3 linked regions of the Elephas maximus indicus genome follow. The protein of the gene in region 1 interacts with the protein of each later gene in a pairwise test. Links are inferred from orthologs where the notes say so. Each region holds a gene or a part of one and is shown on either strand. Other genes may lie near its edges. The genes, in order: FHL2, ZNF131 and SAXO1.

Region 1 (3,749 bases):
AGTGTAGAAATCATCAGATTTCTTTCAAACTGATATTTTGAAACCAGTTTCTATATTTTTATAAAAATTATTTATCTAAATGCTCAGTTTATGCTTTTTTACTCCTATTTTATCCAACTATTATGAAATATTTTAATATTCTGGCTAACTGAATAAGTCATAATGTTATATAAGCCATAAACCCAAAACTCGACTATTGTCATCAAGTCGATTTAGACTCATGGCGGCCCCTTGAGTTATACAGTAGAACTGATCCATGGAGTTTTCTTGGTTATACTCTTTAGGGCAGCAGATTGCCAGGACTTTCTTCTGCAGCACTGCTGGGTGGATTTGAACCCACAACCTTCAGGTCAGCAATTGAGGGCAAACCCTTTGAGCCACTCAAGGACCTAATGTCATATAAACCCACTGCCATCGATTCGATTCTGACTCATAGCGACCCTATAGGACAGAGTAGAACTGCCCCATTGAGTTTCCAAGGAGCGCCTGGTGGATTCGAATGGCTGACCTCTTGGTTAGCGCTGTGGCACTTAACCACTATGCCCCCAGGGTTTCCCTAATGTCATATAGAGAAAATCAATTTTCAAAGAATTACATTTTGAGTAGACAGTAAAACATAAATTTATGTAAGAACATAAATTGGACAAAAAGAGATCACTGAATAACCCAATGATCCATGAACATGCACTCATATGTGTATATATATTTCTTTAAGTATATTGACCTTTCGGTTAGCAGCCAAGCTCTTGTCATTTAGTGGTTAAGAGCTCAGCCGCTAACCCAAAGGTCAGCAGCTCAAACCCACCAGCCGCTCCTTGGAAACCCTATAGGGCAGTTTAACTCTATCCTATAGGGTTGCTATGAGTTGGAATCAACTCAATGGCAACAGGTTTTTGGGTTGGTGGAAAGGGGATGATTTTAAGTTGCTGCCTCTGGGCCATGCATTAAATGTTAAATATTCTGCGGACCAGGAGAAAGTCTGTAGGTCCCTGTGCTACGTACTGTGGAAATACACTGGGGAGACCGTCTTGGCCTGACCTCTGAGATCTGCAATTTATGGAAAGCTCTGGAAGCATTATCCAGGATGAGGAAGTCTGTCAGTGGAAAATGTGCTCGAAGACAGGCAAGGCTGTGGGTGAGCCAGCAGCACTCAGGGAACGCTGCATGGGAAAATATGCAACTTTCATGGCAGTTATGCATTAAAATATTTCCTTAATTTTTCAAAAAGTTCCCAAAACGTAATCATTTGAGTGGTATACTTAGCTATTCAGTTAAAAACAAAAACTTTGTAAAATAGGCAGCATCTTGAAAATGTAATAGAACTTTTTCCAGCAAATTTTGTTGTTATAAAGCCACGCAATAAAATAAAATTCAAATAACATTCCTCAAGACATAAAACAATAACAACGACAAACCCATATATAGAAAATACCCAATAAAAGAGCATTAGCCTGTAAGGCAGATATTAATACTATCTTTTGACCTCAGAATTAGTAAAAAAAAAAAACCAAAACAACGAAATATTGAGTGACAATTTCTTTTCTTTTTAGATTGGACTTCATAAAGTGTCTTGCATGGAGCCTGGCTAGAAGAATGATTGTATACATGTCATCGTATATGTTATTCTGTCCTTATTGACATGATTGTGCAATTGGTTAGAGCATTACCCTACGTGCATTTTAGTGTCTATCCTGCTCCGGCAATTAGTAAAATATTAATACATTTCCTTTTAAAGCGAGCAACAGCTATTTGTACTTTTGAACCATAAAATAGCAAGTCATTCTGTATAAACATTCTTTCCCAGTGTGTAACCAGATTCATCAGTAATTTGCCTTTTCACCCCAGGCCATCCGGAAATTCTGTCATGGAGAAAAAGCTCAAGTGCGCTGTGGTTTTTTTTCCCCCTCCAATGTTTATTTTATTATTATTTTTTCTTCCCCCTTTTAAAGAAGTTTCCCAGTGTTCAAAACTCAGTTTAAAGGCCTGCTGCCTGCTGATAGAGGGAGAGATGACCACAGCTTTTCCTTGTACTTGATATGCAAGCGGGCACCAGGGTAGCTTTGTGAGGGGAAGCTCTTTCCCCACAGCCTACAAAGGAGATTTGTTATTGGTGGCGACACCACCCGTGAGCCCAACTGCAGTGATGTCTGTGTCTCTGCTCTGGGTCTGGGAAGTCCACAGTGCCCGAGAGCTCTTTCCCAGGAGTGGGACACTCATTCCCCACACGGCAGGAAGCCCTCGGATTACACAGCTGGTGTCTAAGCCTTGCTGCAGACACAGGCAAGCAAAGAAGGCAATGGAGAGAAAAAGGCAGAAGATGAAAAGAGCGGCCCTTACCTGCTGTGGCGTGGCCCTGTCTTCTGTTCTCATGCCTGAACAGTGGGGACAGCAACAGCGCAGGGCTGACCTCTTTATTGAATTATCCCAACTGTGGTGTGTGTAGCTGCTGGCCAGCTGGGCTTGCTCATGCCAACGGGGCTATAAATAAGGCACCTCCAGAGAAAGAGCCATCCATAGGAGATAAGAACCCAGCCCCTCTGTTCTGCAGGCCTTTTAAGGTATCCAAATTAAAGGAGCCTCAGTCCCCAGACAGAAAGGGGCTGCCAGTTTCCCATTTGGAGCACTTACTTCAAGGACATCTCAGCCCTTGAAAATATCCCAACTGTCAAAAGAGCAGCGCTGAGTGAAGGGGCAGCAATAATTGCCAGCAAAGGATCTCGTTTTATCAGACACGCAACAGAGCTTACAACAGGCTGGCAGGTGGACTCATGACTGTGTGCTCATCAGATTAATGGCTTTGAAGGGCAAAGGGCAGGTCAAAAACTAAACGGCTGTAGGTGACTGTGTTTTTTGTGTGTGTGTGTGTTTTTTTTTAATAATAATTTTTATTGTGCTTTAAGTGAAAGTTTAAGTAGGTGACTGCATTTTAAGGCACAGGAGTGGAAGTATATTTCTCTCAGGCTGCACAGGATCTCTGTGGTCTTGGAAACATTATCCCGACATGCACTTTAGAGACCCTGGTGGTGCAAACGGTTAACATGAGAGGCTGCTAACAGAAAGGGTTGGAGGTTCCAGTCCACCCAGAGGTGCCTCAGAAAAGAGACCTGGTGATCTGCTTCTGAAAAATAGCCGTTGAGAACTCTGTGGAGCACAGTTCTGGTCTGACACACATGGAGTTGCCATGAGTTGGAATCAGCTCAATGCCAGCTGGCATTTTGGGAGATCCCATGGTGAGAATTTTTAGCACCACCTCATGAAAGGAGTGCTCACTCTCTCCCTGGCTTCAGGAGACATTTACTTGGGTGAAAAGAATTCTAGGGAAGACCAAGGATCCAGATAGTAAATGTTGAATATGTAGGAAGCTACTGAGTAGAAGACGTTTAAAGAAAGTTCCCTCCTGATCCTCTCTGCTCATGCATAATTCTCGAGGTGCAAATAATTTCTCTATAGAACTAAAACAGAGACATCTTACTAGAGCCTCGTTTAACCACACGCTGGAAGAGGAGGGAGAAGACTAATCTGGGGGTGCGATAGCTCTTGATTCACCCTTAGATTTCTTATTTCTGAGTATGCAGAAAAGGCATTTCATCCAAGGCAGGCGTTGGGGTGTGGGGGGCTGGGGGGTGGGAATCACATGAGTTTGACTTCTCCGGAGGACTCTTTGGCACTAGCTGTATGTGTCGACACAGTGATTCCATGCTGGGAATTTGCTGGAAGAAAAGAATTGTGAAGATGGACAAAGTTATAGC
Region 2 (3,749 bases), on another chromosome or scaffold:
TGATGCCTGCTTCCCATGGTGTCTTGCTAATTTAACTGTTTAAACCTTCTTCATTGGTTATAATGTTTACTCAAGTGTTGCATTTAAAAGAAGTATTTACCTTCTATCTCCACCAAAGGTTCCTGAGTAAATTCCTGAAAGAATTTGTAGAAGAACTTACTGCAAGCGGCCAAAACAGCCTTGTGGGCCTTAAAATGGTGCCCTAAGAAAAAAAAGAAAAACAATCACAAAAGGCAAGTGTAAAACCATAAACAAGTTAAAAAAAAAAAAAAAAACTATATAAAGTAACATGTTTTTCTTTATAATGTAAATATATAAACACATAAATTACTGGAAACATAAATTGAACTGAAATCAATATTCTTGGCAGCTATTTTGGCAAATTTTAATCTCTGTTAGACAGGAAGCAGTAATCTTCCTCAAACGCCTTACTAACTCAGTTTAATAAAGGCCAGTTTATTGCACTTCAGGAGATAAGGTGCTTCATACCACTGAAAAGAAGCACTTTCTGTTACTTTCAATGAGGGAGTAAAAGGCATATCCTATTAACTTGAAACTGCTAAATATAAAAGTTACATACCACTTCGAAAGAGAGAAAAAAAAGCCATAGAATAATCACAGACTTGGATGTGTCTGCTCTGGAAAACATTTTAATATGCCTAATATTTGCAAGTCCAATCTACAGCAGACCTATAATAAAGAAAAGTTTTCCTTGAGAAGCCTATGTTCACTAAACAGCTAGATTTTCACCTCCTTTATATTTACAATCCCTGAGAAAGACTAATAGAGACTCTATTTTATTTTGGGGGCTCCCAAAGGGGAGCAACTGCTGCAAAAAAGAATCTGTCACATTCTCCCTCCAAGACCATTTGAGAAACCAGAAACGAATCAACACTTCCCAAATGCTTCCTGTGAGAGACTTCTCAAGAGAAGCTTATCAACTGAAGATTATTAACCAAAAAAAGAAAAAAAATAGAGAAATGTTCCCTATTCCTAAGGCATCAGCTTGTGCTCGTGTGCAATGACACCAAACTTCAAGGGGCTGCAAGAACTTAAAAAGCAATGAACGCCAGACTGTGCTAAAAGCGTGACTGGCCGAACAGCTTGGGGAGCACGGTCTCCATGGCGGACACAGGCAAGTGCCCCCTGGTCCCTACGCACACCCTCCGCGGACTTTTGGAAGAGACCCCATAGCGGGTGAATAAAAGGTGGGTGAGGGAAGGGAAAAACTGAAGCCACAAAATCGTTCCTCTGCCCACCACCCTACCCACCGTCGACAATCAGGGTGATGTCAGTAAACCGGTCCTGCTCTCGCTGTTCATTCAATCGGTCCAGGATCATTTTATGATGTTCAGGGAACTCCTGAAGGCATTCCATCGTCTCTTCAGCCTCCATGGCCGTCGGGTTGCTCTACAAAAGAGGAGCATGATAATGTACACCCATGAGCTCGGACTGAGGCACAACAAATCCCCTAACACATAAAACAACAAAAAACAAAACCCCAGCAACGTGAAAAGAAGGGGGGAGGGTAAGGCAAGAGGAGAGGAAGGCGAGGGGAGAAAGAAAGGCTAGCCGGGTGGCCGCCGCGCGTTGGGGGCCGGAGCCGCGGCCGCGGGACTCCCAGCCTGACCTAATTGGAGTCGGGAGACGCGAGCTGGAGCGGGGTGGGCGCAGCGCCGGAGGCTCCGGGTGCCAGGGCGCGCAAGTCCGGCAGGGGAGGGGACCCGACAGCAGCGGCGGCCCGCTAACGGCCCGCCAAGCCCTCCCGCCCGGCCCGGGCTACCGCCGCCCAGAGACCCGGTCCGGCCCGCGGCCCACAACGACTCCCGGGTCGCCTCTCCCTCCCCCGCCCTCCCTCTTCTCCCCCGCCCCGACCGGGCCGGCACTCACTCAAGGAAGGAGGAGCGGCCCGGGCCTGCGCGTCACTTACGTCGCCGTCCTGCGTCACCGCGTCAAACTCCGGCTGACGCGGACGCCTTCCGAGCGCCGACCAAGGAAGAAGCAGGCTACGCCCCCGCTCTTCCCTCCTAGGGCTGGGGCGGAGCGAGCCAAGGATTTGGCGCCCGCCGAGGGCGAGACCGCGCGCTTTGGGAAGAACCTATTCGACTGCGGTGGGGTTAGGCCTATTCAAGGCCTGGCTGGGCAAGGCGAGCCTAAATCGCAGCTCTTCCACTTCCCAAACCTCCCCGCAGACTGGCGCTCCAGACGCTCAGATTAAACTCGCTAGCCGTTCCCAGCGTGCTTTAATTCCGCGGCTTCCCCAGCCCCGCCCCGCCCCGCCCCGCCCTCTTTCCTCCCAAGCCATAGGTCGGCCCGCCTTACCTAGCTCCAGGCCCTCCCACTCTCCTTGCTTTCCCCTAAATCCTTTACTTCCCTGCTTTCCCTTCCCGGGGCGTAAGTCGCCCCACACCTTTCCGTACCCCTAGGCCGCGGCTCGCCCTCCATTTTCCCTGCGAGAGCCTCGGTGTTCCGTCCGCTCGCGTCCAGCCGGCGCACGAGCGCTGCGACTGCCACGGGGGCGAGCACGTTCCGGCCACCCAGGATCTTCCTCCCCTGTGCCCGCCCCTGGCGCGCCGGGCGGGCCGCACGTGTTTGCTATGCTCAGAAACCTGGATCAGCTCGGAATTATTTACACTTGATGCTATTATTACAGTCCCTCCTCACAGAGACCCAAATCAAAAAACCAAACCCGTTGCCGTCGAGTCAGTTCTGACTCATAGAGGCCGGTGATCCATAATCGCATGCATGTGACTGACTCATTCATTCAAACGAAGAAATGCTTCCTGAGGATAATATGGTACTTGAGATTTACTTATTCTCTTCTCTCAAGTAACTTGGGAATGGGGTTTAGGCAAAAACACAAATAGCTACATGCAAGGGTGAGTGTAGTCCTTGTAGCCGATAGTCATTGAGAGCCAACAATGTGCTAGGCACTGTGTAAAGGGCTGGGGAATACAACTGTGAACAAAACACATGTAGTGCCTGCCCTCAGAATCTGTCTGATAGAGTAGATAGATATTTGAATAGTAATCACCTGGGTATTGACTGCCCAGTGTTATGAGAAGCTAAGAACAAGGTAATCTAGGGGTCAAAGAAAGCCAGTGACCTAAGAGAAGCAAAATAAAGTTTGAGTGTTCCACCCAAGGGTGCAGCACATGCAAAGGTGTTAAAATTAAAGCATTCCAGAAGGAGAAAGCATGATGCTGGGTCAGACCTATGGGGGGCCTTGTAAGCCATGTTAAAGGTGTTAGACTTTCTTTTAATACTTAGGGCTCTGAACAAGGTCTAGCAGGGTGATGACAGCATAAGATTAAAAAAAGTAACAGTTAAGAGGTCGGCTGTCTGCTGCTAACTGAAAGGTTGGCAGTTCAAACCCACCCAGCTGCCCTGCTGGAAGAAAGACAAGCTCTGGTAAACATTACGATTTTGAAAACCCTGTGGAGCAGTTTTACTGTGTCGTATGGGGTCGCCAGGAGTGAAAATTCACTCCACAGCACCTAACAACACAACAGCCCTGTCTTAGTCATCTCGTGCTTCTATAACAGAAATACCACAAGTGAATATCTTTTAAAAACAGACGTTTATTCTCTCACAGTCTAGTAGGCTAGAAGCCCCAACTCAGGGTGTCAGCTCCAGGGGAAGGCTTTCTTTCTGATAGTTCTAGGGGAAGGTCCTTATCACCAATCTTCCCTGGCAGAGGAGCTTTTCAGCGCAAGGACCCTAGGTCCAAAGGACTTGCTATTCTCCCA
Region 3 (3,749 bases), on another chromosome or scaffold:
ACACATTTTAGGGGCACACGATTCAATCCATAACAGTATCCTCTCCAAAAGCCATAAAAGAAGCAAGAAAATTGGTAGCAGGCCTGAGTCTGCCAATCGAATTTTATATATTTTCTGTGGAAATACGTACTTGACTCCCTACTCAGAACTATGCTGCTGGGGGTAGACTTATTCTCCCCTCCATATACTGGACCTGAGAATTTATGGAGATATGAAGAAGAAGGTCTCAGCACCAGACTTGCCTGGAAAATTTCCGAGGAAGTTAGGTGTGGATTTAGATGGCTAAGTATGTTGTTGTTAGGTGCCATTGAGTCGGCTCTGACTCATGCCAAACCCACTGCCATCGAGTTGATTCCTACTCATAGTGACCCTATAGGACAGAGTAGAAGTGCCCCTTAGGGTTTCCAAGGCTGTAAATCTTTACAGAAGCTGATTGCTATATGTGTCTCCCGAGGAGAAGCTCGTGGATTCAAACTGCTGACCTTTTGTGAGCAGCCAAGTGTTTTAACCACTGCGACCTTATATGTGACAGAACAAAACACTGCCTGATACTGTGCCATCCTTGCAATTGTTTCTATGTTTGAGGCAATTGTTGCAGGCACTGTCAGTCTGTCTCCTTGAGGGTCTTCCTCTTTTTTGCTGATTCAAGTTTTATGTCCTTCCCTAGCTATTGGTCTCTCCTGATGACATGTCCAAAGTAAGCAAGATGAAGTCTCACCATCTTCACTTCTACAGAGCATCCTGGCTATAGTTCCTCCAGGGCAGATTTGTTCTTTCTTCTGGCAGTCAAACACATAAATTCTTCTTTGGTCTTCCTTACTCATTGTCCAGCTTTCACTCACATGTGAGGTAATTGAAAATACCATGGCTTGGGTCAGGCGAACCTTAGTCATCAAAGTGACATCTTTGCTTTTTATCACTTTAAAGAGGTCTTTTGCAGCATATTTTCCCATTGCAATCTGTTGTTTGATTTCTTGGCTGCTACTTCCGTGGGCGTTAATTATTGATCTAAGAAGAATGAAATCCATGACAACTTCAATTTCTTCACCATTTATCGTGTTGTTTATTGGTCCAGGAAACCTTGGTGGCATAGTGGTTAAGTGCTATGGCTGCTAACCAAGAGTTCAGCAGTTCAAATCTGCCAGGCATTCCTTAGAAATTCTATGGGGCAGTTCAACTCTGTTCTCATAGGATCACTATGAGTCGAAATCGACTCGACGGCAGTGGGTTTGGTTTTTGATGGGTTTTATTGGTCCAGTTGTAAGGATTTTAGTTTTCTTTATGTTCAGGTGTGATCCATGCTGAAGGCTGTAGTCTCTGTCTTCTGGAATTCCTTTCTCACTTTCTAGCACCTGTGGTTGCCTTAAGCATGGTCCTCTGGTTCTTAAGAAAGGTGGGAGGTTTTCTATTTGTGTATTAGCTGTCCTGCATCGCACAGACTGGGGCCTGCCTTCAAGCTAGAAATTGTGAAAAAAAGGACACCGACACAGACACACTCTCTCAGTGCCATTCCTTTCCTCTACTATTGGCTTTCCTCCAGAATCTGCCTATTTGAATTGCTCTTTAGTGCTTTCGTGTAGTGGTTTTTATATTTTGTCCAGAGTTTATGTGAAGCAAATGTCAGCCTCAGCCTTAGTGGGGCTGAGGAGTTGAGAGACTAGAAGGAGGAGACAGGCTCTGTGAAACTTGAATCCTGGAGGGCATGTACTTGAAATCCCATCTGTTGTAGTGAGGATAAGGAAGTCTCGATGTGTCCTATCAAGATCACGGCCAAACCCTGTGATTCAAATCTGGGGATCTTTTTCAGTGTGCTGAGATAGGCCTCTCAACTTGCTGGGGATGACAAAATGGTTTTCTATGGTTTCCTTAGAAGGGTGCCTTTTAACCCTGGGAAGCGTTAGAATTATATATGGAAATGATGTAAATCAAATCCATTGACAGACAAAGGGAAAACCCTATAGAGGAGATTGAGAAGGAAGACAAATCATGAGGAGCAGTATCGCAGAGGTCCAGGGAGAGAATATTAAAAAAAGATTGAGAAGATGGATTCTACTCAGAGGGTGCAGTAAGATAAGGATGGGGAAACTGTGATTGGATTTGGAAATAGGGTGGTACTTGGTGGCCTTGCTGAGAGCAAGGAGTAAATAGAATCAGATTATGGCAGGTGGATCATGAGTGGGAGGTGAGAAAGTAGAGTCCACACCTGTAGACAGCCCTTTTTAGAAGAGAGAAGGGGAGGGAGAGAAATGGCAGGGGAGTCCAGTGAGGGTTGTGTCTTACTTCGTTTTTTTTCCTTTAAAGATGGGAGAGACTGCAGCATGTTTACCTACTGAGAGAAAGGAGCTAGGAAGGAAGAAGTGAAAACACAGATAGGAGATGGTTGCTAGATGAGGCTTTCAATAAAAAGGGAAGGGATGAGACTCTGAGCAGGCGTGAAGAGATTTGCTTTGGACAAGAGGAGGAAGGACTCTTTAAAATTGATTCCATCTTACTGATTAATTAGTAGATAAGAACTGCTTTAGGTGAAGGGAAGGACAATACTCAGTACATGGAAGGTCAGCTCAACTGGACTGGACCAAAAGCAAAGAAGTTTCTGGGATAAACTGAATGCTTCAAAGGTCAGCGGAGCAATGGCGAGGGTTTGGGGACCAGGGTTTAAGGGGACTTATAAGTCAATTGGCAAAATAATTCTATTATGAAAATATTCTGTATCCCACTTTGAAATGTGGCGTCTGGGGTCTTAAATGCTAACAAGCGGCCAACTAAGATGCATCAATTGGTCTCAACCCACCTGGAGCAAAGGAGAATGAAGAACACCAAGGTCACACGACAACTAAGAGCCCAAGAGACAGAAAGGGCCACATGAACCAGAGACCTACATCATCCTGAGACCAGAAGAACTAGTTGGTGACCGGCCACAATCGATGACTGCCCTGACAGGGAGCACAACAGAGAACCCCTGAGATGCAGACCCCAAATTCTCATAAAAATACCATACTTAATGGTCTGACTGAGACTAGAGGAATCCCGGCGGTCATGGTCCCCAAACCTTCTGTTGGCACAGGACAGGAACCATTCCTGAAGACAACTCATCAGACATGAAAGGGACTGGACAGTGCGTAGGAGAGAGATGCTGATGAAGAGTGAGCTAATTATATCAGGTGGACACTTGAGACTGTGTTTGTATCTCCTGTCTGGAGGGGGGAGGGGAGGATAGAGAGAGTTGGAAGCTGGCAAAATTGTCACAAAAGGAGAGACTGGAAGGGCTGACTCATTAGGGAGAGAGCAAGTGGGAGTATGGAGTAAGGTGTATATAAACTTATATGTGACAGTCTGACTTGATTTGTAAACGTTCACTTGAAGCTCAATAAAAGTTAAAAAAAAATTGATCCCATCTTAATATGATTGATTATTTGAATATACTAGCAAATTCTTAAATTTGTACAGATAAACATTAAAAATAGGTTACAAAAGTATTGCTTGGTCCTGTTATCTTATCCGTGTGAAAATTCTCCATTTCTGGCTCCCAGGGTCATGACTCTGGTTTAGTTGTCCTTATTTCCTTCTTCCTTTTGTCAGACGACTCTTGTCTAGCACCTTTCTTTAGCTTTGCCAAATGAGTCGATGTCCAGTTGTTATGACTTCCCCAGTGGGGCCACTTCAGCCTTTACTTAACTCTGAGTTTAACTCTTGGCCTTCCATACTGTATAACCTTTATAGCTACCTACTCTGAAAGGAAACTCACGTCT

What was found.
Region 2: the proteins of FHL2 (region 1) and ZNF131 interact in binary tests that used the Homo sapiens proteins (3 or more experiments, as listed by UniProt). The two-hybrid records come from large-scale screens. The link is inferred for Elephas maximus indicus from reciprocal best matches to the Homo sapiens genes FHL2 and ZNF131.
Region 3: the proteins of FHL2 (region 1) and SAXO1 interact in binary tests that used the Homo sapiens proteins (3 or more experiments, as listed by UniProt). The two-hybrid records come from large-scale screens. The link is inferred for Elephas maximus indicus from reciprocal best matches to the Homo sapiens genes FHL2 and SAXO1.

The regions. Positions count from the first base shown.
Region 1 is NC_064835.1:80,167,390-80,171,138, reverse strand, and holds the start of FHL2 (four and a half LIM domains protein 2), read right to left. Parts: upstream 2,636-3,749; 5' UTR 2,371-2,635; coding exon 2,338-2,370; intron 1-2,337. UniProt on the Homo sapiens protein: May function as a molecular transmitter linking various signaling pathways to transcriptional regulation. Negatively regulates the transcriptional repressor E4F1 and may function in cell growth.
Region 2 is NC_064820.1:49,607,957-49,611,705, reverse strand, and holds the start of ZNF131 (zinc finger protein 131), read right to left. Parts: upstream 2,512-3,749; 5' UTR 2,421-2,511; intron 2,226-2,420; exon of another isoform or gene 1,891-2,225; intron 1,817-1,890; exon of another isoform or gene 1,631-1,816; intron 1,411-1,630; 5' UTR 1,396-1,410; coding exon 1,272-1,395; intron 203-1,271; coding exon 101-202; intron 1-100. UniProt on the Homo sapiens protein: Plays a role during development and organogenesis as well as in the function of the adult central nervous system. May be involved in transcriptional regulation as a repressor of ESR1/ER-alpha signaling.
Region 3 is NC_064827.1:28,838,933-28,842,681, reverse strand, and holds the start of SAXO1 (stabilizer of axonemal microtubules 1), read left to right. Parts: upstream 1-1,017; coding exon 1,018-1,038; intron 1,039-3,749. UniProt on the Homo sapiens protein: May play a role in the regulation of cilium length. Stabilizes microtubules at low temperature.